Linked DNA regions of Solanum lycopersicum. The protein of the gene in region 1 binds, or shares a complex with, the protein of each later gene. Links are inferred from orthologs where the notes say so. Each region holds a gene or a part of one and is shown in the gene's direction. Other genes may lie near its edges. The genes, in order: mediator of RNA polymerase II transcription subunit 25, mediator of RNA polymerase II transcription subunit 14, mediator of RNA polymerase II transcription subunit 9, mediator of RNA polymerase II transcription subunit 15a, mediator of RNA polymerase II transcription subunit 30, MED18 and mediator of RNA polymerase II transcription subunit 32.

Evidence for each region.
Region 2: mediator of RNA polymerase II transcription subunit 25 (region 1) and mediator of RNA polymerase II transcription subunit 14 share a complex: the UniProt entries of both Arabidopsis thaliana proteins name them as parts of the mediator complex. The link is inferred for Solanum lycopersicum from reciprocal best matches to the Arabidopsis thaliana genes PFT1 and SWP.
Region 3: mediator of RNA polymerase II transcription subunit 25 (region 1) and mediator of RNA polymerase II transcription subunit 9 share a complex: the UniProt entries of both Arabidopsis thaliana proteins name them as parts of the mediator complex. The link is inferred for Solanum lycopersicum from reciprocal best matches to the Arabidopsis thaliana genes PFT1 and MED9.
Region 4: mediator of RNA polymerase II transcription subunit 25 (region 1) and mediator of RNA polymerase II transcription subunit 15a share a complex: the UniProt entries of both Arabidopsis thaliana proteins name them as parts of the mediator complex. The link is inferred for Solanum lycopersicum from reciprocal best matches to the Arabidopsis thaliana genes PFT1 and NRB4.
Region 5: mediator of RNA polymerase II transcription subunit 25 (region 1) and mediator of RNA polymerase II transcription subunit 30 share a complex: the UniProt entries of both Arabidopsis thaliana proteins name them as parts of the mediator complex. The link is inferred for Solanum lycopersicum from reciprocal best matches to the Arabidopsis thaliana genes PFT1 and AT5G63480.
Region 6: mediator of RNA polymerase II transcription subunit 25 (region 1) and MED18 share a complex: the UniProt entries of both Arabidopsis thaliana proteins name them as parts of the mediator complex. The link is inferred for Solanum lycopersicum from reciprocal best matches to the Arabidopsis thaliana genes PFT1 and AT2G22370.
Region 7: mediator of RNA polymerase II transcription subunit 25 (region 1) and mediator of RNA polymerase II transcription subunit 32 share a complex: the UniProt entries of both Arabidopsis thaliana proteins name them as parts of the mediator complex. The link is inferred for Solanum lycopersicum from reciprocal best matches to the Arabidopsis thaliana genes PFT1 and MED32.

The regions. Positions count from the first base shown.
Region 1 is NC_090811.1:29,971,890-29,975,389, reverse strand, and holds part of mediator of RNA polymerase II transcription subunit 25, read left to right. Parts: intron 1-781; coding exon 782-849; intron 850-928; coding exon 929-1,687; intron 1,688-3,500. UniProt on the Arabidopsis thaliana protein: Component of the Mediator complex, a coactivator involved in the regulated transcription of nearly all RNA polymerase II-dependent genes.
Region 2 is NC_090800.1:84,078,038-84,082,073, reverse strand, and holds the start of mediator of RNA polymerase II transcription subunit 14, read left to right. Parts: upstream 1-1,236; 5' UTR 1,237-1,560; coding exon 1,561-1,770; intron 1,771-3,971; coding exon 3,972-4,036. UniProt on the Arabidopsis thaliana protein: Component of the Mediator complex, a coactivator involved in the regulated transcription of nearly all RNA polymerase II-dependent genes.
Region 3 is NC_090801.1:55,598,840-55,602,915, forward strand, and holds the start of mediator of RNA polymerase II transcription subunit 9, read left to right. Parts: upstream 1-1,276; 5' UTR 1,277-1,597; intron 1,598-2,692; 5' UTR 2,693-2,733; coding exon 2,734-3,090; intron 3,091-3,197; coding exon 3,198-3,260; intron 3,261-3,342; coding exon 3,343-3,423; intron 3,424-3,807; coding exon 3,808-3,866; intron 3,867-4,006; coding exon 4,007-4,064; 3' UTR 4,065-4,076. UniProt on the Arabidopsis thaliana protein: Component of the Mediator complex, a coactivator involved in the regulated transcription of nearly all RNA polymerase II-dependent genes.
Region 4 is NC_090803.1:3,495,266-3,498,765, forward strand, and holds part of mediator of RNA polymerase II transcription subunit 15a, read left to right. Parts: coding exon 1-104; intron 105-577; coding exon 578-1,936; intron 1,937-2,279; coding exon 2,280-2,350; intron 2,351-3,500. UniProt on the Arabidopsis thaliana protein: Component of the Mediator complex, a coactivator involved in the regulated transcription of nearly all RNA polymerase II-dependent genes.
Region 5 is NC_090807.1:2,029,146-2,033,095, reverse strand, and holds the start of mediator of RNA polymerase II transcription subunit 30, read left to right. Parts: upstream 1-1,150; 5' UTR 1,151-1,273; coding exon 1,274-1,672; intron 1,673-3,013; coding exon 3,014-3,112; intron 3,113-3,673; coding exon 3,674-3,772; 3' UTR 3,773-3,808; intron 3,809-3,889; 3' UTR 3,890-3,950. UniProt on the Arabidopsis thaliana protein: Component of the Mediator complex, a coactivator involved in the regulated transcription of nearly all RNA polymerase II-dependent genes.
Region 6 is NC_090805.1:1,888,056-1,892,273, reverse strand, and holds the start of MED18 (mediator of RNA polymerase II transcription subunit 18), read left to right. Parts: upstream 1-1,418; 5' UTR 1,419-1,812; intron 1,813-1,992; exon of another isoform or gene 1,993-2,066; intron 2,067-2,802; 5' UTR 2,803-2,824; coding exon 2,825-2,860; intron 2,861-3,026; coding exon 3,027-3,126; intron 3,127-4,218. Other genes in the region: ZNHIT (zinc finger HIT-type containing protein), read right to left, coding at 609-682. UniProt on the Arabidopsis thaliana protein: Component of the Mediator complex, a coactivator involved in the regulated transcription of nearly all RNA polymerase II-dependent genes.
Region 7 is NC_090807.1:64,223,280-64,226,958, reverse strand, and holds mediator of RNA polymerase II transcription subunit 32, read left to right. Parts: upstream 1-1,235; 5' UTR 1,236-1,381; intron 1,382-1,383; exon of another isoform or gene 1,384-1,512; intron 1,513-1,766; 5' UTR 1,767-1,809; coding exon 1,810-2,250; intron 2,251-2,796; exon of another isoform or gene 2,797-2,812; 3' UTR 2,813-3,179; downstream 3,180-3,679. UniProt on the Arabidopsis thaliana protein: Component of the Mediator complex, a coactivator involved in the regulated transcription of nearly all RNA polymerase II-dependent genes.

The DNA.
Region 1 (3,500 bases):
GCACAGTAAATTTTTCACGCTAATACCAAAGAACATGGGGAAAAACTTGTGTGACTTTAGTTTCTCACACTTCTATTCCTTTATCAACAGACTTTACAATGAGGATATTTGTACTTGTCCAGTGTGGAACACTTAACAATACTGTGAAAGTATACCTAAACACTAACAAAGTCCAAATGTGCAATAAAGGAAAACTAAGAATAATAGCCCCCTCTTTATTTTGAAGTCGGCAGGGTCAAGCTGTTCAATAGACAAAACATTTAACCCATAGAAAAATAAGTAAAACCAATATTTGAACTTTATTCATCCTGATATATGTTGGGGAATGATTTCATTCCACTGTGCAATTCGTTCTGTGTAATCTTTTTCATGTGTAATTTGTTTCAGTTTTTGGAGTTCAAGCACGATCAGTTGGATAGACAACTAATTGCTGAACTGTTCAACTCTTAATTCAGCTGTAGTGTCTACTGTCTATTGCTAAAAATTTCAATTTATCCCTCCCCTAGTCTTCCCTAATTTGGTTGAGGTGAATGTGGCCACATGGTGATGATACTTTTGGCATCTTTTACATGTATACATCTTTTTATCTTATCTGAGGATTAATTATGTTACATAATGTTGAGAACTCTCTAAAATTACAGTTTTAGTTGATAAAAAAGTTACTGGATAAATGTTTATAAGTGTATTACTGTAGTCTAATATATAGTATGCTGGGATATATAAATTACTCTGCAATTGTACTGTTGGAGGGATACTAATTCTCTTTTTATTTACCTCTCAGCAAATGTATCTGTTATCAGTCGACCACCAATTTCCGCTGGAAATATTCCTCCGGCAACTGTAAAAATTGTAAGATTCAACAACTTGTACACCTGCTCGCTACACAGATATTTCATAGATGCTATGATATTATAATATTTGTTTTCAGGAGCCCAACACTGTGACCCCCATGACTGGACCTGGATTTTCACATATTCCGTCTGTTCGTCCTGCTCTTCAACCGGTTCCAAGTTTGCAAGCTTCTTCTCCTCTTTCTGTTTCTCAGGAGATGGTATCACATACTGAGAATGTTCAGGAGATGAAACCCATAGTCAGTGGTATGACTCAGTCCTTACGTCCGGTTGCTGCTGCAGCAGCAAATGTCAAAATCTTGAACGGTGTTGCTCAGGCACACCAAGTTCTAGGCGGGGGGACTTCTATAGGACTGCAATCTATGGGTGGCACCCCTATGCTTTCAAGTATGATATCTAGTGGAATGGCATCTTCCGTCCCTGCTTCTCAAGCTGTATTATCATCTGGGCAATCAGGTGTGACAACAATGACTGGGGCTGTTCCACTAGCAGGAAGTGCACAGAATACACAAAACTCAGCTCCTTCTTCATTCACTTCAACTGCTCCCAGTATGTCTGGTCAAACGGTTCCTGCAATGAGCCAAGGTAATATACCAGGCACACAAATGATGCCAAGTGGGACAGGGATGAACCAGAATATGCTGACTGGGCTGGGTGCAACTGGTTTGCCTTCCGGAACTGGCACAATGATGCCTACTCCAGGGATGTCTCAACAAGGACAACCAGGCATGCAACCAGTTGGTGTGAACAGCACATCAGCGAACATGCCTCTATCTCAACAGCAAACATCTGGTGCATTGCCATCAGCTCAATCAAAATATGTCAAAGTTTGGGAGGTAAGACCGATTAATCAGTAGAAAGGCTGAAACTGGACTGCGGACTTTGTTCCTAATTTCCTATAGAAACTAACTCATGCCTTTAAATTTTCATCGCCCGAACAACAGATAAAATATGAATTTTACATATATGTTCTTTTAGAATGTCACAGGTTATATTTTCTTGATGTTCTCTGCTGGAACTTCTTATTTTGCTTTAAATCAATCAGTCTGTAATTCTGAAATGATTTGGCCATACAATATCTGTTGAGATTTCTATATCTGATACTTACGGAAATGGGATTTTTTTTTTTGTTTTTCACCATTAAGAGGCCACTATAACATGTGATTTTCTTGACGAACTTTCTGTATCTCATTTCTGTTATGTGGTGTAACAATGTGGTCATTTCAATATAATAATTATGAGTCACAATGCCAAAAATTATTTTGTAGTAACTGTTAGGTGTTTATTGCATATATATGGTGATTATGATTTAAGGGGGAATTTAAGACGCGCCCGATAGGACCTAGTGGGTTGCCATGACTGCGATATTTGCACCATTTCTCTGGGCACCAGCTATAATGTCTCTCAGTCAGTTTCATCCTTCCATTTTGTGTTGGATTCACAATTGTTATTTTTGGGGTGTTTGAACTTTGATATCCAGTCGCCTATACTATTTGATTATTAAGATGCAGTTATAATTAAGAGGGGTATTTGAGTAATTTCCTGATAATTCTGTAAATTGGCAAAGAAATCTTTGAAGTGGATTTGGAATGAATATATGCTCTACTATAAATGGATTTTCTGGAAAATCAGCTATCTCCAATCTTAGTTGTCTTTTCACACCTAGCGGCTACCTCGTGTTTAGTTGCTGGGTTCCTTCTTTCTGATTCATTTCAGATGTCAGTCTCAGAAAATGAACCTAATGTGCCAGATGTAAATACTACAGAGATAATGAAGGAACAATATTAAGAGGTAAGATGGAGTTTGATTTTGTGGGTGGACTGGTGGGTAAGTATGAGGATGATTTAAATTTGTATATTTTATGCTGGTGCTTCCAAATTACATTTTTTAGGAACTGAAACAACAGTGTTTCCATGCAAATTGTAGTCTGTTAAAACTCTTTTAAAACAGTGTGGCAGTCGAAGTGAAGTCCTATACTGCCATCTTGTGATGCTAAGGGCTAGACCAAAATTGTTAGTTAAAACTAACCATGTGGTTTTGCATATAGCAATTGTTCTACCAGATAAGCAATGTAGTTTTTGCTTTTGTTGAATTCAGTGATATGCATATAGTTGAGAGGGGTAATAATTTTGAATTCAGCTGGCTCTTTCGCTTTTTTTTTTCCTCTAATGCTTTGTTAACTCTGGTATAGTTATCTTGGTGAGGTAAAAGATAGCTCAGGCCTTTAATGCTTCGAAGTCTTTTTCTGTGAGAACTATTTTGAGTGCACTGTTTTGAGTTTTCCTAAGGCACCTTACAGTTTGATTTGCTTGAACCATAACATAATATTAGTGAATTGCTAATGGTTGCTCTGATGTTTGGGGCTGAGGATAGAACTTATTCTGATGCATAACCAATTACTTTAACTTTTGAAAGAAACAATTGTTTTAGACTTTGCGCAGAACCAGCAAAATCATATTTGAGGTTGTAAGACCACAATTTTGAACTTATAGTTTATACTGAGGATATGTCTATACCCTTGAATAGTGTGATAATATGCAAGTTATATACTACAATGAGAAACTGGGTTGGTATTTATTCAATTTTTTGAACTGCTGTTCTTTTCAAGAACTCTGATTATTTTGCTATAATTTTTCGTCATCCCGATCG
Region 2 (4,036 bases), on another chromosome or scaffold:
ATTATCATTTATCTGCTTAAGTAGAGCTAAAAAATATTTTGTTTGATCGAAGATTGATATATTAGTGGGTGAAAGTGAAAAAGAAAGCATGAAACAATTGAGCCAATGCACCATTCCTTAATTACCAATCCGACATTAAATGAACCATTACCTTATTAGTTGGCTAGTGGATCAGTCTATTTAAAAATCAATATCCGACAAGCCAAATAATTAAGCATAACTATCCATCTGATCCGTCCAATACACAAACCTAAATTTTAGGTTATTGAAAATGTCCAAATAATATATATGGACTATGATGATCTAGTTGTATAAAATAAATGTGATATTTAAGATACAGACATCAAGCTATTAAAACACACTATAAAAAATGAGAGAATGAAAAGAGTGATCCTATAAACGAAACTAATTTGAATTTATGCTAAAGCGTTTGATTGCATAAGTGTCATATATCTCATAATGAAATTGACGGAATCTCCCTTCATCATTATACCTCAATGCATTATTTAATTTTAATTACGTGATAGTTTTTGAGGTTAAGGTATGCCTCCAAACATGAGAATGAAACTCCATATATTCAGAGATGTTGATCTTCTTCATTAATGTGAAAATAACCAGTTTAAAGCTTGAAAATTTGTAGTGAAACAATATTTGAAAATAATAGTTAAAACTTTTTGACGAATAAATAATGTAACGGTGCATATAATTATCAAATAGACGAAGCCATCATCACTTTAAGAAAATCAAGAAATGTGTAATTTCTTGAAAGAGAATTCTGAAACTGGGGCGGAGTAATAAGGGACTACGAGGACATGTTCATCTCTGGACCTGGACAAACAAGTGGGCGAATACTATGACTATAATAATTAGATTTCACTATTACGTGATAATTTTTTAAACAAGTATACCAGAAGTAAATTCGCAATGATTTATTAGACGCGTAAATCAAGAAATTTAAGTTTCATGAAGAATAATTCAGGTCACAGATGAATAATAAATGAATGATTGTTAAACACCGTTTTAAAGAAAAAATAAAATAATAGATAAGTTCTTACCGCTCAACAGATAAGCTCAAACAATATTTAGGCTTCACATACTTTGAAAGGTATATCAAAAAACGCAATAAAAATATTTTTTCGCACACTTAATAAATATTTTTATATGGAAACTTTCTAAATATTATATTTTTTTCTAAATCAACATGATTTAAGGAGATGAATTTTTATAAACTTGGTCAAATAGAACTTTAGAGGTTTTATATTAGTTTTGACTTCTCTCCGACTAGTAGTACCATATTCCAATTTTGCACACCCTCTCCCTTCCGCCGTTACGCGTTACCTTCAGACATCCGATCTATCAAAAAGGGAAAAAAAAAATAGAACAACACTCGCTTCATTCACTCTCTCTACAGGTCGGAGATTCATATTTTGTTTCAAATTCCACAATTTTTACAAACCCTAATAGTAATTGATTGTTTGGGCGGTCAATTTTCATTAAATGGCATTGTATTAGTAGGAATTCGGGATCGTCGGAGTAATTTAATCGGAGGGTTTTGCGGAGATGGCGGAATTAGGGCAGCAGACGGTGGATTTCTCGGCACTGGTAAGCAGAGCAGCTGAGGAGTCGTATGTTACGTTGAAGGAATTGGTGGAGAAGTGCAAGTCGTCTAACTTATCTGATTCTGAGAAGAAAATTGGGATTCTTAAATATGTAGTTAAGACTCAGCAGCGTATGCTTCGTCTCAATGTCCTATCCAAATGGTGCCAGCAGGTTGTTTTCTTTTTTTTTTAATCTATTCACTCCCTCTCTCATTATGTATGTTGATGCATTCAAGATTGAACACTATCTTTTTTTAATTTTTTAGATATAATGATGTGTTTTTCCCAATTTGTGACCCCCTTTATTAATCCAAAGGTACCCGTTACCTCCCACCGGCATAGGTACGGGGAAAATTTTCTTTCCAGGCTTAGGCAGATGGGGATTCTATGTTTGAGTTCTTTAAGGGTTATAAGAAGTGTGCCTTCTTTCTTCTTTGTTGAGGGGTGCGAAGAGTAGTTTTCGACTTCTAGGGTTTCTTTTGTTTCAGGATTTGTGAATTGGAAAGAGGAAAAGGAGAGGATTTTCTCTTTCTTTATTGATGCATTGAGAGAGTAGTGACAGAATGTATATTGGTCATGTATTTGTTTTTGTGAAATTTGTGAGTTGGAATGGAGAAAAATGGATCTTGATTAAGATTAGAAAGGTAGCCGTGAAATGAGTAGGGTGGATGTTGTTTTAGGAATTGGGAAAAGATGGACCACGAGGAGTAATTTAAAACTTAAAATCAGATAGTTAGGGTGGAAGTTCTAGTTATAGTGAATGTCGAGGACAATTGCCAAAAGAAAACAAAAGTTGAGGACAACTTCAAAGGTTTTAAGATTGTACGATGCTCTGTTCAAGTTGTACCAACAGCTTATTTGATGAAAGGCGGAATGATCCAAGAGACCCTTGTATTTGAATCGGATTGTCGATTAGACCCTTCTATTCTCGCCTTTTTTTTTATGACAAGGGAAACCTGGAGCCGCTGCCTTTTGGGTGCACATAGGGTAAAACCCCACTCCTATGCAATAGCTCGCAAACCACATAGGAGAGGTAACCCGCACCAGGCGACTCAGAAGGCAAACCCCCTTGCTTTCACATGCAAGGTGTTTCGAACTTGAGACCTCCAACAAAGCCCTTCTATTCACGACTTTGTCGACTGAACTTTTAGACTCAATGAAACACAATCTTCTAAACCCCTTTGACCCTTCAGATTTTTAATGACATGTCATTTATTTTTAACTTTATTTTGAAGTTTTCAATTTTTTTCCTTATTCACTCCATTTCTCCCTCACCGTCTCTATCCCTTGACCACCTCTTTCCATTTCTTACATCTGATATACCACCATAACTTTCCATCTTTATCGGTAACCACTTCCCAAAAAAATTAAAGACCTCCATTCTCCTCGAAATTTTCATCATTCACAACTTTCGATCACCTTTTTTTTTCAGCAACGCCTCTGTCCACCACTTAAACCACCGTGAAGACTGTCATTTTCTGATGAGATGGTAGAGAAGATGAGCAATCTGGCGATCAGTTCGTTGAAGAAGGGAGAAGATGAAGAGGTTTCCAATATACAAAAAGCTGAACAATTTTGCTCTTTGGGCAATTAACAATTTGGGTTTATTTTATTTTATTTTATTTTATTTTGTTTTGTTCTGGACCAACTTGTTTTGCACTATGTTTTTAATTATAATAAATTGATGACCATTTTTGGTCACGTTTTGACAAAAAAAAACCACCACTGTGAACTCCTCTTCTCCATTGATGCCAATGAACACCACTAAAAGACCTCAATATTTCTGGACATATGCACATAATTTTACACAGCACACACTCCACCTAATTCAAAGAATCACAATCACTCTTCACGCTCTAAAACTACTGGATCTTTGTCACCTAACAATTACGCCAAAAACATGGAAAGGAAGGACAAACCAGGAACAGTAGGACTTATCCCATTTCTAATCTTGGGAGAAAGAGTATGTGTAAAAGAAATAGGGTGGGGTGGGAACAATGGAACTGCTGTCACACCAAAAGAGCTATGAGTTTCCTGTAGATCTTGCTTCAAACAACTTTCTGTAGCATCATTTGAACCTTTAATCTTTGATTTAATAAACTCTTTCGAGGTATATGTTGGTAATGCTATGTACAAGGTTTGTCTTCATGTCTTTCTTCTCCCTTTCATGTCTTCATTTCTTCATCTGTCTTTTTCTGGAAGGAAAGATACACTTGTATTATATTCAGTATCTAGGTGAGTAGAAATATGGTTGTCAAATCTTCCTGGACCCTTAGAATCAACGGTTGGCCCTATATTCTTTATCATTGATCTCGTAGAAACTGCAGTTCAAACTCCGTATTTAAAGTACCAACACAATTATCTGGTTTGCAGGTCCCGTTGATACAATACAGTCAGCAGCTTGCATCCACTTTATCTAGTCATGATACATGTTTCAC
Region 3 (4,076 bases), on another chromosome or scaffold:
CAAGAGGTCCTCAGTTGCAACATGTTTTTTAAAACATAAAACACACTCTCTTTTCAATTATGTGTAAGAGATCTGTATTAAGTGACTTATTAGGTATACACATTCTCAAGATTTTATTTTAAAGAAAAAATTAAAGATTATTATTTATTATTATACTTTTGAGTATTTCTAAAGTATCTTTCTATTTAGAAAAAGTAAAATAGTTAAGAATTTGAAAATAGGAGAAAAAAACTCATCATAATCGTGAAAGTCACTCTCAAAAGGCTCATCATAGCCCTTTTTGTGACTCGACTCAAGCTCATCATACATTATTCGATATTTGAACTATTCAGTTATTTAAATTACAAAAAACACTCGACAATTTATTTCATATGAACTAGAGGGAGTATATTTCAAGCAAAAATTATTTTGTGACTTTTGTCCATTAGTTTTGATTTATTCCATCGATAGTTTTATCATTTTAAATTTCCGCAAGATTTAGTTACTAAGTGATGTGTAATTTAATTTCTCACACATTTGCAAAAATAAATTTTGTGTACCCACTTCGCTAAAAAAATTATCGACTCTTTTAAAGTTTGAACAACCTCGGCGAAATTTCTGGCTCCGCCACTATTTGGCGAGTAACATACTCATCATACACTTTCTTGGATATATCGCGTTAATTCATTCATCATCAAGATAAATGATTTTGATCTAAAAGTTGATGTCTGGTGCAACCTCTTCATAGTGGAAAAGTGCTTTTTTTTCTTCTAGGTCTTGACTCCTTCATACATGTCCTTGATCTTCTAAATATACGTCATAGAGTCTGGCATTAATACATACATTTTATGAACCCTAAACACCCAAAGGGACCTCCAAAAAAATTTGGTGTGTGTTTTATAGAGGGTCCCTTTTAGTGTTTAGGGTTTAAAAAGTGTCCGTTTTGATATCAGACTTCTACATACCTCCAATTTCCAAACATCTCCAAAAAACCTCCTTCAAGACTCTGTCTAAAAAACTTTCCAATCAATGAACATCATATGCAAGTTTTTCTATTTGACTGTACTTATTTATCAATCTCTTTATAATGACTTTTGAATACATGTGAAACATGCTTAGATATCAAGTGTATAGAATAAATTATATCTAATTTTGACTCATATGTATCTATTTTGTAAAGTTCTAAGAGAAAATATAATTAGAAAGTATAGTTTCAACCGATAAATAACACAAATGTAAATGTGTGTTTTGTGTTGTTTCCTCTTAATTTAAATACAATTCATTCAAATTTGAATGCACTAGTGATCTACTTTTTTATTAGTTCAATCTATTTCAGTTTGTTAAAATATTAGTTCATATATAAATCAAATCGGTTAATGAAAAGTGAGTTTTATGTATTTTGAATTAGTATTTTAATTATTAAAAATTATCTATTTTTTTTTAATACATACTAAATTTTATACTATAGAAAATGTTAAAATTTCTAAATTAGCTTGTTTGCTCTTGAAATCGAAACCTCCCCACAAATTGGGACAGCGGGAGTAATTTCAATTTTGCTATTTGAAAAAACAGAGGATTTTCCGTTGGGGTTTAACCGGATCGGGCCTTTTCATCTCCGGTAATCTTTCTCGTTTTGTAATTCTCATCGTACTTCTGCTTTGTTATTAACTGTACTAGTTGTGGTTTCAGTAAAGTTTAGCTTCGTATAGTTGTGAATTCATTCTCTTGTGGCGGCTTAAATCAAGGGTTTGGTTGTCAGTGTTATAGCAAACGAAGATTCTGTTCAGAAGATTTAGAGTTCTTTTTTGTTGGAAATTTTGAGGTTGTGATTTTGACCTAAAACTGTTAATTTCATAGATAGAGAGATATTTGTATGTTAGTAATAGGGAACCTCTAGGGTTATGAAAACCTAAATTATTGAATATTGGAATAGATGGGGTTCTAATGGAGAGAATTCATATAGTAAACCCAAACTAATTCGGGATTGAGGCATACTTCTTGATTACTGAGCTAAATTAGAGATAAAGAGTAAGAGGTGCAGTTGGGATTGATTCATTTCTCACTTTAATAACTATCTAATTTTACAGTTTTAGGTTTTGTAAACTTTTTTAGTGCATACTAATAACTATCTACCCTTTTGGTTTGCTTGGGATTGCTAGCTCCTTAGCTTTAGTTTAGGATACTTGTATGAGTGCTGAGATTTTTTTTATGCCCTTCCGAATTAGAGCTAAGCGGTCGCATATTTTGTAATCTGGCATCTACCCGATGCCCATTCAAGGATAATTTTTAACCTTATCAAAAAGACATAGTTGCAGCAGTAATTTTTTCCGATGTACCTATTGATTTAACAATGTGAACACCAAATTTATACAGATGTCATGGTAGTTTTTACTTGGAGATAAGAGTTTACTGTTTGTTAAATTTCAAAGAAGAGTTTACTGTTTGTTACGAGGGATGGGCTTCAGTTTTAGAGGGTCTCACTTGATGGCTTTGTTCTCTTTGGTACAAAAGAACTATTCTTGTAATAAGATGTGGATGAAATGTCATTTAGGAATGATGGGAAATATATTTTTGAAGTGGTTTGTACATTTCAGAATCTTAGGAATTATTTCTCTTTGCTACTCAGTCCATTAGGCCAGTTCATGCTTTGATAGTTTTGGCTATTTGTGTAGTACTTGATTACATCTGATGACATTAATTTTATCCATTTTAGAACCAAAGTACCAACAGATTTCAGCTCAACAGCCATTAGTTATGGACCACTTTGGAGGAGGAAGTTGGACAATGATCCCCAACATCCAAACTCACAGTAATCCTTCGACACCCTCCAATCAAGACAATTTATTTCTTCAGCAACAGCAATTTCAACAACAACAGTTCATTCAACCGCAGCTCTATCAGCAACAACAGCAGCAGCAGCAGCAACAACAACAACGGTATCAACAACAGATGCAACAGCAACAAATGCAGCAGCAGCAACAGATGCAGCAGCAGCAAATGCAGCAACAACAACAACAGCAGCAGCAAATGCAGCAACAACAACAACAGCAGCAGCAGCAACAACAACAACAGCACCACCAATCACTTGCCTCTCACTTCCATCTTTTACAAGTATTGGGCAAAAACCATGATCTGTAGCTTGCTATTTTAATAGAGTAACGAGACATTTCTCTTTCCTAGTGAGACCTTTTGTTCTAACTTTTATTGTCATCTTACAGCTGGTGGAGAATTTAGCTGATACAATTGAAAATGGAAATCGAGATCAGCACTCAGATGCATTGGTTTGTTCATTTCTTGATTGATGCATTATATGTTAGTTTTCCATTTCTTCTACATTAAACCGGGTGTATTTTTCCTCACCAGGTAACTGAATTGAAAAATCAGTTTGAGAAGTGCCAGCAGCTGTTGACATCAATATCAGGGTCTATTAGCTCAAGATCTATGGTATTTCATTTTCACACATATCCTTTGATTTCTGTTGTAACTTGTTCTGAACACACCCCCAACTCAAAAAATAAAAAGAAAAAAGAGAGAGACTCCAACAAAGAGTTAAGCGCAATAATATGAAAACAGAACTTCAAAATTATTCTTTTCTGGAAGAGTTGGATTGTTTTTCTTTTGGCAGTGTTATTGCTTTTAATTGTGCTTTTCCATTTGGGCCTGTTTGTTCAACTTATAGTTGTGAAGAATTTTACTGAAAAGTGGGGTTCAATATGTTTGAAACGATGTTGACTTGAACAAAGTTGCTCCACAAATTCTTATTTGGTTGCATGTTTTGATGCTTAAATATGGGTAAGATAATTGACCAGTCCTGTGTTCTTTGGACAGACAGTTGAGGGACAAAAGCGCAAAAAGGCAGAGTGCGAACAAATGCTAAATCAGCGAAGGTTTGTATTATATATATATAAAACACACACACACACACATATATATATGTGTGTGTGTGTGTGTTTCTAATATTGTCTACTGAAATTTGTATAATTATTATTTGCTTCATCTGATGGTCATGTTTCATGCTTAATTACAGGGATCTTATTTCGAGGTACAAAGGCTCAGTTGAGGAGATTATTAACTCTGAACTATAGCTCATACTCGCA
Region 4 (3,500 bases), on another chromosome or scaffold:
GATATCTTTAAAGATGCTGACCATGGAGACAAAATCTCAACCTCCTATGACCAATTCTGTTCAGCCAAATCCTGCTAGTAGTGGTCAGAATGCCCTTGGTCCAGGTGAACAATGAAATCTCATGTGCTCTATTTCAAATAGGGAAAACTTGTATGACAGGACGTTTTGTGTAAACCTAATTACTTCGTTCTGCTGTTGAAAAGTTTGTTCTCTGTAGCTAATAAGTGTAAAGGAAATTTTAGATGCTTGAACCATTGTGCTAATCTTTGAGTGATCTATAATTTTGGTGACTAGCCCTAATAAGTATTGTTTGTGCTCTAGGTCAGAGTCCTAGCCCTGCTCTTTCTCTATATCCAGACTATTCTTGTTGTTTATTTGTCTAATAAGTAACTTAGTCAAACTTCTCTTTTGTATTTTCGAATCAGTTTTCACAAAGCTATGACTTCTGTTTCTTGTATCTTAAACTAAAAAATACGTGTTTACTTTTGCTGCTTGTTTGTATTTTATTTTAATGTTATTATGTTTGCTGGTTATTTGATAGCATCTTGACTGGCTTCTTTTTTATTCATTTCTGTAGGATCGCACAGTATGCAATCCCAAGTCAACAGCCAAGCACAGCAACTTCCTGTACCTATGGTGGCCAATCAAACTCAAACACGACAACCACTGTTGCAGCAAAACCTTCAGAACAATATGGCATCGACTGGGCTGCAAAATTCTGCTAGCTTGGCTCCTTCACTTCCTTCTGTGAGTAATTTGACGCAGGGTACCATGCCAAATGTCGTGGGCCAGAATTCAAATTTGCAAACCATGCAAAACATGCCAAATGTTGGTCAAAACTTGGTAGGAAATGCCATTGGGCAAGGCATGCCTCCTAATATGGTTGCTAATTCTCAGAGGCAGATGCAGGGAAGACAACAACAGGTTGTTTCTCAACAGCAACAGCAGCAGTCCCAGACAACACAGCAATATATGTACCAGCAGCAACTGCATCAACATCAAATGATGAAGCAGAAATTTCAGCCGGGAAGCACATCACAGTCCTTGATGCAATCTCACATGCAGCAACAGCAGCAGCCGCAGGAGCAGCAGCAACAACTACCGCAGCAGCAACAAAACCTTCTACAACCTACTCAGACACAACCTTCTCAGCAAGCTATGATGCAACCTTCTTCAATACAATCAACTTCTTTGTCCAACCTTCAGCAGAGTCAACAGTCGACTGTTCAACAGTCAACTCAATCTGTACTTCACCAACGGCAACAATCAGTTATGAGACAGCAGCAGGCTCCCATGCTTCATCAACAGCAATCGTCAATGCTACAGCCACCAATTTTACCAGCTCAACAGCACCAACAACAACAACAACAGCAGCAGCAGCTGATTGCACAACAGACAAATGTTGCAAATCTCCAGCAGAACCAATTGATGAGTCAACAGAATGCAATGCCTGATGTGCAGCAGAGGCTAGTGGGCCAACAGAACAACTATATGCATCAGCAAAACAACTTTCAAAATATGCATCAGCAGCAGTTGGGCTCTCAAAGTAGTATTGCTGGGGTCCAGCAACAACAGCTGTCTGGAAGTCAACAACCTGGTAACTCTGGCTTGACATCTAATCAGCACCCTATTCATTTGATGCAACAACCAAAAGTTCCTGTACAACAACAAATGCTGCAGAGTACTACAACCTTGTTACCAAATCAAGGTCAACAATCGCAGTCGCAGCCAGCACAACAGCAAATGATGTCTCAAAGTCAATCACAACCAGGACAGTTACAGCCACCTTTGGGTTTGCAGCAACAGGCGAATCAATTGCAAAGGGAGATGCAACAGAGGCTTCAACCATCAGCCCCCTTGCTTCAACAGCAAAATGTAATGGAACAGCAGAAGCAGCTATATCAATCACAAAGAGTCGCACCTGAAGCCTCTTCAAGTATGTATTTTTCTTAATCAAAGCTTTCAATTAGGTCTCATAAATCACTCTGTAGCAGTTTGTCATTCTTAGATATTTCCACCTTTCATGCCTTATATGTGTGAAGGTATAGGACTTCTACACTATGTTAACCACTGGTTTACATTTTCTTTATGTAAAAATGACTAGTACTTTCAGGCAAGTTTTGGGATATGAAAGGTGGTGGATATTTTAGATAATATTCATACTTATCTGAAATATCCAACACCTTTCATATCCCAAAATTTGCCTGAAATTTTAATGCTGTAAGGAGTCAAGTCCTTCAATATTTTTGTGCTATCCTTAACTTTTGGTTTATTTGTAGCATCTTTAGATTCTACAGCTCAGACGGGAAATGCAAATGCAGCTGATTGGCAGGAGGAGGTTTACCAAAAGGTATTTTTTTCGATGGTATTTCTATCTGCACGGCATGTTGAGAACTGAGGAAATTACTGGAAATTGTTGTTTTGGAAATTGACAAGTGAACTGTATTTTGATAAATTGACTGGTTGCAACAATATAAGAAGTAGCTGAATGCTGTGAAATATTTTTTGTGATTGATGGATTAATAGAGGAGGTTTATCAAAATAAGTATTCAGCAAATTCATGGTCATATCCATTCCCGCAAAGCACTTTTACGGTGTTCCAATTCGTAGAAGCACTATAGAATTAAGGTTATTGCAGCTTACTTGTAAGAAATTGATTTATTCTCAATTGAGAAGTGAGGTACAACAACTATTACGCCTCAATGTTAATCAAATTAGCGTCTGTTATATGAATTATTGTTGTCTTATGTTGCTTCATTTGAGCCCCTCTCAATCCAAAATTATAGCACTTGAATTTCCTTACACTTTCTACTGGCATAATTGGGAAGTGAAGTAAATAAATTGGTTGGTTACATTTATTTTTTGATGAAGTGATTAGAAATAGTTGAATGTTGTTATGTATTGTCTGAATTCACGAGGTGTGATATGTCCGTAAGTTTGGGTCAGGGTCCTCATAATATGTACCTAATTTGTTTTATTCCATGGAAACTAAAGAATTAATTGCTACATTAAAGGGTAAATCTATTCATGCAGGAAGTATATACTTGAATATATGGCTTAAGAAAATATTGTTCTTTGTGAAAAGGCACATCATCTGTATTAGTTGGTAACGGTTTTTGTTTCTGTTTTTTGGGATATCACGAGAAATTCATTGTTGCCTGTTTTGGAATGTGGATGATAATGGGTCTGTCCCTCTAGCTTTTTGTACTTAAATACCTGACTTGGTTTACTAGCTAGAAGTGTAAGTTGGAATATTTTGTGTTCGCCAAGAATAAAGATATAACATCAACATGCCTTTTTACTTGTGAAGTAAACTACATTGTTGTTATTCATTGTTTACCCTCATTTTGCTTTACTGGTAATAAAGGTGTAAAGTGAAAAAAAATGATGTTTTCACACTAAACAATATTATATCTCCCAGACAATTATAGAAAAGTATATTCTAATTCCTCCTGGTTGGGCTGGTCTATTATCACATCTTGGAACTAGACCCTTGCTGT
Region 5 (3,950 bases), on another chromosome or scaffold:
TTTATGAACGACAGAGACATCAATGTCCCAAAATAATGACTGAAGGTATCTGCATATCATTTACGGTAGTTCGAGAATATATTTGTCATTTTTTCCTTTTTATAAAATAAATTTATTTGAATTTTAAAATCTGAAAAGTGTCTTATAAAATGAAATAGAAAGAATATTATATATATATAATATTTTAATTTCTATTATTAAAATGCACAATAAGACTAATTATCGATTCGAATGGTGTTGTCTTTTTTTAATTAGGTATTAATGGCACGTTGAATAAAAAAAAAGGAATCTTTGATTTGTTTCTTTCAAAATCTCAAATGGAAGTTTTTAAACATTTCTTCTTTCGCTTTTTAATTTTAATTGGAATCACACTTTTTTTAGTTTGCATCTATTTGCGATACATAGACTCTCTCTCATTCACTTTACGTCTTTTTCACTCGTCTTTTTTTCTATAAGTTTATATTTTAAAGTGTATATAGTAGTATATTACATGCATCTAGGTCTATATGACTTGACATCTAGTATGAAATTACTAATTAGAAGACGATGCGTAACTTTTCAAAATTATGAAAAAAAAACTACGTAGTAAATATGATAGGAATGTTTATGTAATCTGGTAATTTTTCTGCAACGTTAAACACAGATATTTGTGCACTTCTTTCCCCCATTGAATTTCGGGGAACTTATATACACGTACTATAATTAAAAAAATATTTACCATTTATAGCAATAATAAAAAAAAATTACTTAATCAGTTTTAATTTATTTATAATACAAGTTTTATACATATTATAAATAACAATTTAATATTACATATAATACAAATTTTAACGATGGATAATACGTTTTTCACACATTTTAATACATTTATAATAGAATGTGTCAAATTTAGTAAACAAACTTAATATATTTCAAAAAACAACTTATAATTCACGTACATTGCATACATAATTCACTTTTAATTCATATTGCAGATTTTACATAATATTGCTATAAATGACAATAAATAAAAAGTATCGCTAAAATCAGTAATTATTTATTAAAATGTATTAATTTATATAATTTTTCCTTGAATTTTGACCCAAGTAACTTGATTTTGGGCTTGATCCAGTAATACATAGCTCCTTACCCGGCCCAAAAAGTACACGCCACGCATAAAACGACGTCATTTTATGCTTAAATTAATTCTCCTTACAACTTCTCGCACCGCCGATCGCCACCACTACCGCCGCCGTCGATCTAGGGTTTTGACAAGCCGGTGACATTACCCGGTATGGAGGATAAAGGCACAATTACAAGCCCTAAAACCATACAAGAACTAGCAGTAGAAGGGCAAAAGCATTTAGAAGATACAATAGAAGCAGCACATCAAATTCTCTCCGCCATGAACGATGAACTCTGTAATCCATCACTTTGGTCCACTCTAAATACAGCTGCTGCTTCTTCTGCGGTGGCGGTGGCCGGTGGAGGAGTTGGTGCTAGTGGTGTTTTGAGTAATGGACAGCAGCACCATACAAACGGCGACATTTCGTCTGATACTTCTTCGTCTTCTTCTGCTTCAGCTCAGCATTTGGATATTGGTGGTGGTGCTCTTGATGAATCTCGTCTGCGTTATAAGTCCTCTATTGCTTCCTTGCGTTCTGTTCTTACTGCAATTTCTAATTCCCAAAAGGTAATTTTACGTATAAAAATGCAATTTTTTAAAACATTTTTGTAATTGTGTGATATCTGTAATTTAAGATAGTGATCTCAGGAAAAGTTAGTTTGATGTAATCATGAATCAACAATGGCTTGATCATAAACTAGTTCGGTTCAGCTATATGAATGAATCACTTCTAGTGAAGTCCATTAAACAGAAAATGTGTAAAAGACTGGGGCTTTGTTCAATGCCAAAGGTAGTTCAACGTGACCGCAAAGATTTGGATCCAACGTAGATAACCTCTAGTTTTAGAGGTTCCAAAGGTTAAAACTATTTGATACTGGAGTGAAGTGGTTCCATATGGATATGGAGGATTCGTATACTTCCACCACCAACCAGCTTGTGTTGAGCCATAGGTGGTGTTGGTGTTCTGTTAGATGGTAGTTTTGATTGGGAATGAAACTCAAATAGATATTCTAGAAATGTAGTTCCTTCGGAGTACTGTAGGAGAGAAAAACATTATCCAGTTTGAGCAGAAAAAAAAAGACATTATCTAGCGATAAAGGTAAATTCAGTGTGAAAAGTGTTTGGTGATTGATCTTAATCACAAAACAAGGGGTTAAACAGTTTTGGTGATTGATATGGGAAAGACATCATGTGGTTATATACTAGCACAATTTGCCCTTACCAATATGAGCAACATTTGCACATGGCAATTGTATATTTTGATGTTCTAGACATGGGGATAATATTTCTTCACTATGAATATAATATTCAGTCGTTTGATCATCCCTCGTCATCAGTTGATGAAGCTCAACTGTGCTGCTTACTCTTTTTCTGATTTGTCTTATATTCTTCTGGGTTTGTGGGTGGCTGTTGGGGGCTGGGGATGGGGGAAGATATTTAACTATGTTTTCGAGGTTGTTCTTGTTTCTGCTGTTTAAACGCACATGAGGTATAAGTGTTTATACCAAGATAAACTACTGCGTGTTATCCTTTTCAAGAAAGAATTAGCACTATAATCACATCTCAAGTCCTTGGTGTTGGTGTATGGATTGCCTTAACATTTGTGCATTGGAGAGAATCTGGTTAAGCAGTAAGAATTTTGTTTGTCAGTATGAACAAATAAATCACTGATGTTGAGTGCATTTTTGTTGCTCAACATATGTCCGACTACACATTAAATGAGTTCTTTTAGTAACTTCTTTCTTAAGAGTTGTGCAAGTATTTGCTCCGTTTTAACTGGAAGTTGTCAAACTCTCCTTTCTGTTGTCTCAATTCTCATGATTAACAAGTTATATTTTCTTGTACATTTTGGAAAGTTGTTAACTTATTGTATGATACTTCACACTCATTACTGGCTTTGTTAGCTAGGCAAAAGCATTGGAAGCTGCTTCTGCTAGTGGTTCACTATCTGCAGCAGATCAAGCGGAAATTGAGCAGCTGGAAGACCGGGCCTCTTCATTAAAGAAGGTATTGATAACATATCAAATTTTGACATATTAGAATTTCCTTGGATTTTTGTTGGTTTTTGGGATGCATGATGGGTGGGTTTGGTGAAGCAAATGTGTGTGCCAATATTTGAACCTTGACTGATGTCTTCCTTGATCCATTGAGTAATTTCTTATCCATTAAAACAATATTGAGGTATACTACATGTTACATTTTCATTCCGGACACATGACAAAATGTCTTACTGTACAAACTTTCTCAAGTCTCGATATTTGTCACAACCTCAAATCAGAACAATATGATTTTGTGATAACATATGAAAACTTGGTTTCAACATCCTCTGCTTGTTGTACATACTGTATTATTATTAATTTTATTCCTATTGCGTTAAAATTAGTCAAATCCTGTTTCATTTGCTTTATGTCTCCCCCTAGTGGCAATAAGAAGTCCTCAAGTGAAGGTAGAGTTTTATCGTACTTGAGTGCATGCCTAATAGTTTTCTATTATCTTACGGTAGTGAAAAATCAAGTTGCTATTGTGATCAAGATTTAAAGCATATTCTATTGTTCTTACAAATTGCAGGAGCTTGTAGACAAGAACAAGCATCTCAAACTTCTGATTGACCAGCTTCGAGATCTTCTTGCTGACCTATGTACATGGCAGAGTCCCTGTTCTACATGACTCTGCTGCTATAACTTCAACCATACAATTAAATCGGTGAGGTGTTAGAGATGTCAAAAGAGCAACGTATTCAATCTTAAGAAACTGTTTTATTTTTTTTTCACTTCTTTTGTACAGAAGTTACTGCTAGATTCAAAAAATTGGTCATCGCCGGACACCTGCTATATGCTGCTCGCGG
Region 6 (4,218 bases), on another chromosome or scaffold:
CACCTTAGTTATGAGAAATTTATGCATTATTTTATGCCAGGCATAAGATAGATAACAAACAGCTAATAATTCTAACCAGCTACCTAACACACCTAAGGTTCTTTGCGACAAATTTATGTATAAAAATATGCACTTTAGAAATCCGCATATAACTAATACAAATATAAGTTATGAGAAAAATTTGTGTATTTATTCTATGCCTGACATAAGATAGATAACTGACAGTTGCATAATTCTAACCGGCTCCCAAACGACACCTAAGGTTCTTTGCAATGATTTCAATGTATAAAAGTCCGCAATTTAGAAAGCTACATGACTAATACATATATAAGCTACGAAGAAATTTATATATTATTTTATGCCGGACATAAAAAATAACTGCATAATTCTAACTAGTTACCAAACGAAACCTAAGTTTCTTATCAACAAATTCATATCTCTATTTGCTACAATTATGATGTTTTTCTACATATAAAAATTTTTACTCTGAATTTTGTATGAATAATCTATATCCATTCCCCTTCAGTTTAAACTAAAAACAAACTCAAAACCCAGAATTAAAATTCAAATAAATTTCAAAGAATGAAAAAAGATGGAAATATAATTACAAGGGGATGAAGCAATTGGGACACTTGTATCTCGACTGTGCTTCATCACATACTTGACATTTTTTCGATCCCATTATTTCTTCTTCTTCTTCGTTATCGAGGTTTTAGGGTTTTTTCTGGAAGAGGTGGAATGTAAAATTGCAATATTGGTCCCTGAATTTTGAGTTTAGATTCAATCGGGTTCTTACAATTTTATCAAATTATACTTTGAGTCGCTTAATTAATTATGGGCCTAAACTCGAATTCGGGTCCAAAATTTTCAAACCATTTTCTCTTCTGCTAAGTACCACTTTTCTCTAATAATTCTACGAGATACTCGTCACTTTCTATAATAATCATTTTTCGTAAAAGGAATCAAATCATTTTATTCATTTATATAGAAAGAATTTTGCAATAATTAATTTTCGTAAAAAGTATCAAATTATTTTATCCATTCATATAGAAAGAATTTCGTGTTATCAATTTTCGTAAAAGGTATCAAAATCATTTTATCAAAGAATTTCGTAATAATCAATTTTTCGTATAAGGTATCAAATTATTTTATCCATTCCTATAGAAAGAATCCATTAATATTTTTTAATTAATTATATAAGATACTAATCAAATTTTCGTAACAGACATTTATCCACTCGTATGAAAAGAATCCGCTAATATTTTCAATTGATTCTACGAGATACTTGTCACTTTTCGCAATAGGTATTATTCCAACCCTATGTCTTGAGTTTCGACTTTTTTGATATTTTCGACCACTTCATTGAGCACTAAATCACCATATTATCTCTGTTACTGCTAATTGTTTTGGTTTCTCTCAGCCATAGCTTGCATTACTAAACCTTAATTTTACAATTGATCGTAGAAACATATTTTTCTTGCTAGAAAAAATCTCTCTTTGGCTCGTTTTTACTGTTGATTTTTTGTTATGTGATTAATTGGACCTTGTTTGATGTAGAAACCTAGATTTTTTTGTTACAATTGGACCTTGTTTGATGTAGAAAACTGGATTTTTTGTTACAATTGGACCTTGTTTGATATAGAAACCTAGATTTCTAGCTAGAATTTTTTTTTCTTTGGCTCGTTGTTATCGTTGATTTTTTGTTATGTGATTAATTTAGGTCTGCCTGTTTAAGCTTTCGAACTATTTTTTTTAATTGAATTTTTGCAGCTCAGATTGGGGGAAAAAGTGAGATTGCTTCAACTGTTCAAGGTAATTCTTTCAATTTTTTGCTCTGATGTTTTATGTTTAGTTCTACAATGCTAAATGATTGTGTTTTATATGTCATACAATAGTGTGTATAGATGATAAAATTTGGAGTTTGATGTAGAAACTTTGAAAAAACAGATGTATAACAATAAAGATATGTTAAACAAAGATCAAATTGTACAGGCACTAGAAAAATCATATTTTGATGCCAAAATAGTCGAAAAAAACCAAAGGCAACATATACCATATAGTCCAAGGTATTGTCTTTTCTTCACCCATTCTTCTCCTTTTCCATTTTCTCTTTCTTTCCTCCATTTTTGTAGTCATTCGTTGTTTTTGCTGAGCACATGCTCCATCATATAACAATGACAACAACATACCTTGTGAAATCCCACAAGTGGACTATGGGGAGGATAGAATGTATATATGTTGTTGTACGTATGTAGAAAATATTTGCCAAACAGGAGTTAAGCTATGTGTCCAAGTGACTAATTTTCCACATGAAAAGAATCACCCATGGTGGAGTGACTTCATTGATAAAACTTGATACCATTCCAGCACTACTACCTATTTCTTTGAAGAAACTTAGTAAAACTTAAGGTTGTTTGGTCATAGCCTAATGAAAGGAGCAAGTTTGACAGTTTTTGGTGCATATTGGATCATTAGAAGTTTCATGCTTAAAATCTTGGTGAGAATTTGGGTGTACCAAAAGACAAGTAATGACCAAATGCTTAAATTTCTAATTATGGATGGAAAAGGCAATAATTGAAGACCACCCCAAAATAGGGGCAATCCGGGCAAAAACTTTAAGCCTCAATCCAAAACTAAATTCATATTAAGATCCATTAATCTTCAAGCAATGCACTTCTCATACAAAGAGTGTCAACTTTGTTATGATTTTGGTTAGGTGTTAGCTTTTTCGTTGTTACTCTTCTGTTAAACTTAATATCTTTTTGGTTCATAGGTATGTTCTAAAGAGTTCTTTGCATGTAGGTTTGAATAAATTGAAGTGCGAATGGAGTGTGTGGTTCAGGGAATTATTGAGACTCAAGTAAGTTCCTGGAGTAATGATAAAACCTCCCCCTATTTCTCGTTTTTTTCTTATTCAATCTTTTAGAAGGTATGCTACTTGTAAAAGGTATACTACGGCATTTACTGAAACAGTTTTTGGCAATTGATTATTGAAAAGATCTTGACAGTGCTAATCATACTTGCAGCATGTCGAGGCCCTGGAAATTCTGCTTCAAGGGCTTTGTGGTGTACATAAACAAAGCTTAAGGATTCATGAACTGTGCCTTAAAAGTGTCCCTAACCTAGGTAAGTGTATTTTCTCTTTGAACTATTATGGAACTAGGAACTAACCCAATGGTCATGTATGTACTGATGTGGCTGAGGCAAATGCTCACAACCATCTATGCATTCGTAGGGAGGTTTTCTCACCTTTGAGTTTGTACATAGCTGATAATTTTTTTATGGTCCATCTTATTCTAGTTGTACTGTGGTGCTGCATGTCAATTATTGAATGGAATTAGGTTCAAGTATGATTCACTTTCAGTACATCTAATTTATAGGTCGAGACCACATGGTTTTTGCTCATTCACTTGTTGACTGTTGAGTGCCTTGTTTTCAACAAAGTGTTGCCTATCATGGTTTTGTCGATGATACAGATGTGATTCTCTGCGATGATGTACATGTGATTCTTTGACATGTTGATGAGGGTAACGTCGGAGTATTAAAACAATGCTTGTTTCCTGTTAAAGATAGTATGGCAGATGTTGATCCCACAAGGATTGAGTTTCTGCTATCCTAATTAGTGTTGCTCAATTACTATTCGAGTAATCAGATAAGCAGGCGGAATGTTTTTGACTAAAATGAAATATAAATAAGAGTTCTATGACATGAATGATGGTGAAAGAGTATCCATCAGTTCATTAAACGAGTTGAATATAGACTTTTTTGTTCTAATCAGAAGGAGTTGAATCTAGACTTCACTTATGATTAGTGTATGGTGTTCACTGTCCACCAATCAATATTGATCTCTAAGTTATAAGTGCCTCTCTCTATTACACTCAACATTGATTATTCCTCTCGCTTGTAGTAATATCTAAGGAAATAGAAAACCTTAAATTCAGAGCACCTTCAGCTAATCACCTTCCAAATCACTGGTGTATATCTCGATTACATCTAACTACTATAACCTTCTTGGCTAAGTGTATTTCTTTTTATTATAATAGTCAAGGTATTATTATACCTTAAATATGGAAGACGGTTGATTAATTAACCTTGGCTCCCACAAATATATGTTGACCCCTTGTGGTTGTCTACGCATTTGTCATATCATCATCACAATTCATAAAGTATGTTGAAGACTGATTTCTCCTCTTGGTTAGACAAGGAAAAAAAGCAAAC
Region 7 (3,679 bases), on another chromosome or scaffold:
AAGAAGAATATAAAAAGTATATTTCAGTAATTTTTCTAATAATAAATGTGAAATAAAAGTTGGTCTTATGTGATATTGTATGCGTATGAAAAATGTTAGGTCAAATCCATCGATGGCCCCTAAACTTGGCACCAATTTTCACTTAGATACCTCAATCAGGCGATGTTCATTTTAAACACCCCATGTAAGGTTCAACTGTGTCATTTTGATACTTTTCTGACAATAAATAAAAAACTAAAGGAGAGTGTAAATGTGTAATACACTCGTTGATGACGTGGCAAACAATCAATTAAATAATTACATGTATTATTTTCAGTTAAAAATAATTATAAAATCTATTTAGTAAAAAAATTTAAAATATTATTCTACGAAAATTTCTTATTTCATTACACTCAAATCTCTTTTGTGCTTTACAAAAAAATATTATTTTCTTTTACTATTTTTCATATTTATTCTTCTTTTTAGTATTGTTTTTCTTTAAAAAAAGAAAGGAGGGAGAGAATAAACATGAAATATGGGTGTTGGTATCCATTTTTCCGGCAAAAAATAGAGTGAGGTGAAGATAGACTTAGATAAGTAATACAATGATGAAGAAGAAAATGACTTAACAACGAATTTGAATAAAAAATTTGACCTCCATTGAAGGAATTTAAATTCGAAAAAAAAGGGGGTGGTGGCTTGGAGAAGAAGAAGATAAAATAAAATTAAAAATGGCTAAATTAAGTCTTTCACGCGCTATTGTTAAGTGTATCACACTCACTTTGACATGTCAGCAAAAAGTGCCAAAATGACACAACAGAACCCTACACGAGGTGTCTAAAATGAACATCGCCTAATTTAGGTGTTCTAAGTGAAAATCGATAGCAAGTTTAGGAGGTCACCGATGAATTTGACAAGTTTGAGCAATTAAACAAAATATTTAATTTAAACATTAATGTAAAATTAATTTTATTCATCACATATAATATAATTACTCATCAATAATATATAACACTAACAAATGAAAAAAAATATATGTCTCATTTTAATGTACATAGAACACTTAATATATAATACTAATGATGAAAATACAAATAAAATAAAAATTAAGATACATAAATAATACTACTCCTTTAGTCCAATAAAATAGCACTCGTATATATATAAATAATTATTAGAAACTCAAACAATTATTACTCAATTATGATTTTATTCAAATATATTTTAAAAATCTTACACTCTAAAATATTAATTTTGAAACTAAAGGGAAGCTTTGTGTTACAAATGAAAACTATTGGGGAGGAATATGTAATTATTTCGAAACAGAGTGAGGGGAGAAGAGAAAAAAACCAAAAAAAGACAGAGGAGAAGATTGTGGAAGCCATTTTCTTCCTTCAGTCAAGTAAGTAGAAAAACCCTAGTCTTTGTGGTTTTTCTTCTTTTCATTTGCTTAAATTTATTTGAGTATTTTCAAGAAATTTGTGTATTGCATCAATTTTGTTTCAGTTGATTTCTTGCTTTTGAGTGTTTTGGGTAATCATAGAAAATTGTTTCTTGGGTTTGTTTTTGTATGCAGAATTTGATAGCATAATAGCTCTTTAATTGTTGTACAAAGATTCAATTTTTAATGATGAAATTACTACAAAGATTCAATTTTTAGTGATGGTCTTGCTAAAGATTCAATTTTAATGATGTTGTTGCTATAAAGATTCAATTTTTAATGATGGTCTTGATACAAAGATTAAATTTTTAATGATGTTCTTGCTAATTTATTCTCTCCTTTATAGATTTACGGAGGTTAGTGATCAATTAGGGCTTCGAGGGGTTGTGATGGATAATCTCGTAGATGCACTGAGCAGTGCATATCAAGACTTTGTTGCAGCATCAGCTGTTGTACTTGAATCAAAGGAGAGTTCTAATGGTCAGAAAACAGCAGCAACTGATGCTGCATTAGAAAACTTTAAGCAAAAGTGGGAGTTGTTCAGGGTTGCGTGTGATCAGGCGGAGGAGTTTGTGGAATCGGTTAAGCAAAGAATTGGCTCCGAGTGTCTTGTGGATGAGGCTACAGGCACTGTTTCAGGGAAGCCTGGGCAACCAGCTGCAAGTGGCCTTCAACCCATTAGTGCTGTTAGGTTGGAGCAGATGAGTAAAGCTGTAAGATGGCTAGTGATAGAACTGCAACATGGTTCTGGAGCGAATAGTGCTTCAGCAGTACATCCCAATCCTTCTGCTCCATTTGATGCCAGATTTTCTGAAGATGCAGCTCAATAGGTATACTGAAATCTCGCTGATACTTCCTGTCCTTGTCGTTTCCGTTGACTATGTTAAATAATCTGGAAACAAATTTGTATTATTTAATGAACTATTAGTGATAGGCTTTGTATCCTAGACTTGATGATGAAGCAAATAAGTGAACATTCCCTTGGAACTGAAACTGATTCATATATAAGAGCTGCTATTACAAAACCGCTGGTCTTGTATAAATTTCCAGGTTGATAGAAAAGTAGTAGAAGCTAACAAAACTGCTTTTTAGTGGCATCATATGTTCTCTTCCATCAGAACGAATAACTGTGAGTAACCACTAGTTTCTGCAGCAATTATGTTATATGTACTATCCTTACTTTATTTATGAAGAATACTATCCTTACTTATTAAGCTAAGTTTGACCCAACTTCTTTTTTTATGATCAATTATGTACTATCCTTACTTATTAAGCTGAGTTTGACCCAACACTTCTGACAGACAAATGGAAACTAGAAAAAAAAAATTGGTTTCGTTTTATTCTGTTTTCATCGCTGTAAAACAAAGAACTATTAGTTGTGACTGTTTTCAGGTAACTACAGAGTCTGGTGATCAGCAGAGAGAAACAGAAGATCTTATGTGCCTTAGTAAGCCGCTAAAGTTGATGTTTGATGTATGAAGTCATGTTGTAACGATGTAGAAGAAATACTTTGGAATGATATTTGTAAACCACCTTTACCGCCTCCCTCCCTCGCCATCTTATGAGAAGATCTGGCAAATTTACATTTGTGTTTTCTAGGCACAGAGATTTACTTTTATCGCAGTATGAGCTACTGCACTGTTAGCTTTATTTAGATCTTAAGCATACCAACATATACAAACAGGCTGTATGTTTGTGTCTGCTATGTGTACCTTATATTCTCGAGTATTTATGTTTATAATCGATTTTTGTTAGGAAATATATCTCCAATCTTGTAAAGTGGCTTTTTAGTTAATTGTGTTAACCCTGATGAACTCATTCAGTAGGCTTTGGAGACCTCTGGAATTGTTGCAACAGAGTATTATGACGCTTTGAGTGTAGCAGTATTAGTAAATACGCTTTAGCTTACAACTACATCTTGATTGCTACACAAATGCTCAGTATCCATGTCGCTCCATTTAACCTTATCTCAGTCTAATATTTAGTTGTACTGTATAATAACTTTGAAAACAGAAGTTCTCACTTGTCACTGCACTTGGAAACGTCTTTGTCCAATAACGCAAACTAATACTAGTAAATGAGAGATCTATGATGTAAAAGTTCTGATGGTTATTGAGAATCGTCTGAAGGGATGACAAGCAGAGGCTACTCTATAAAGCTATATATATCAGAAAAAACAACGCTCTTTTCATTAATTTTATGCAGACCCAAGAAGAAATGGGTTTTGAGGCAACATACAATGCTTAAGAGCATCTTTTG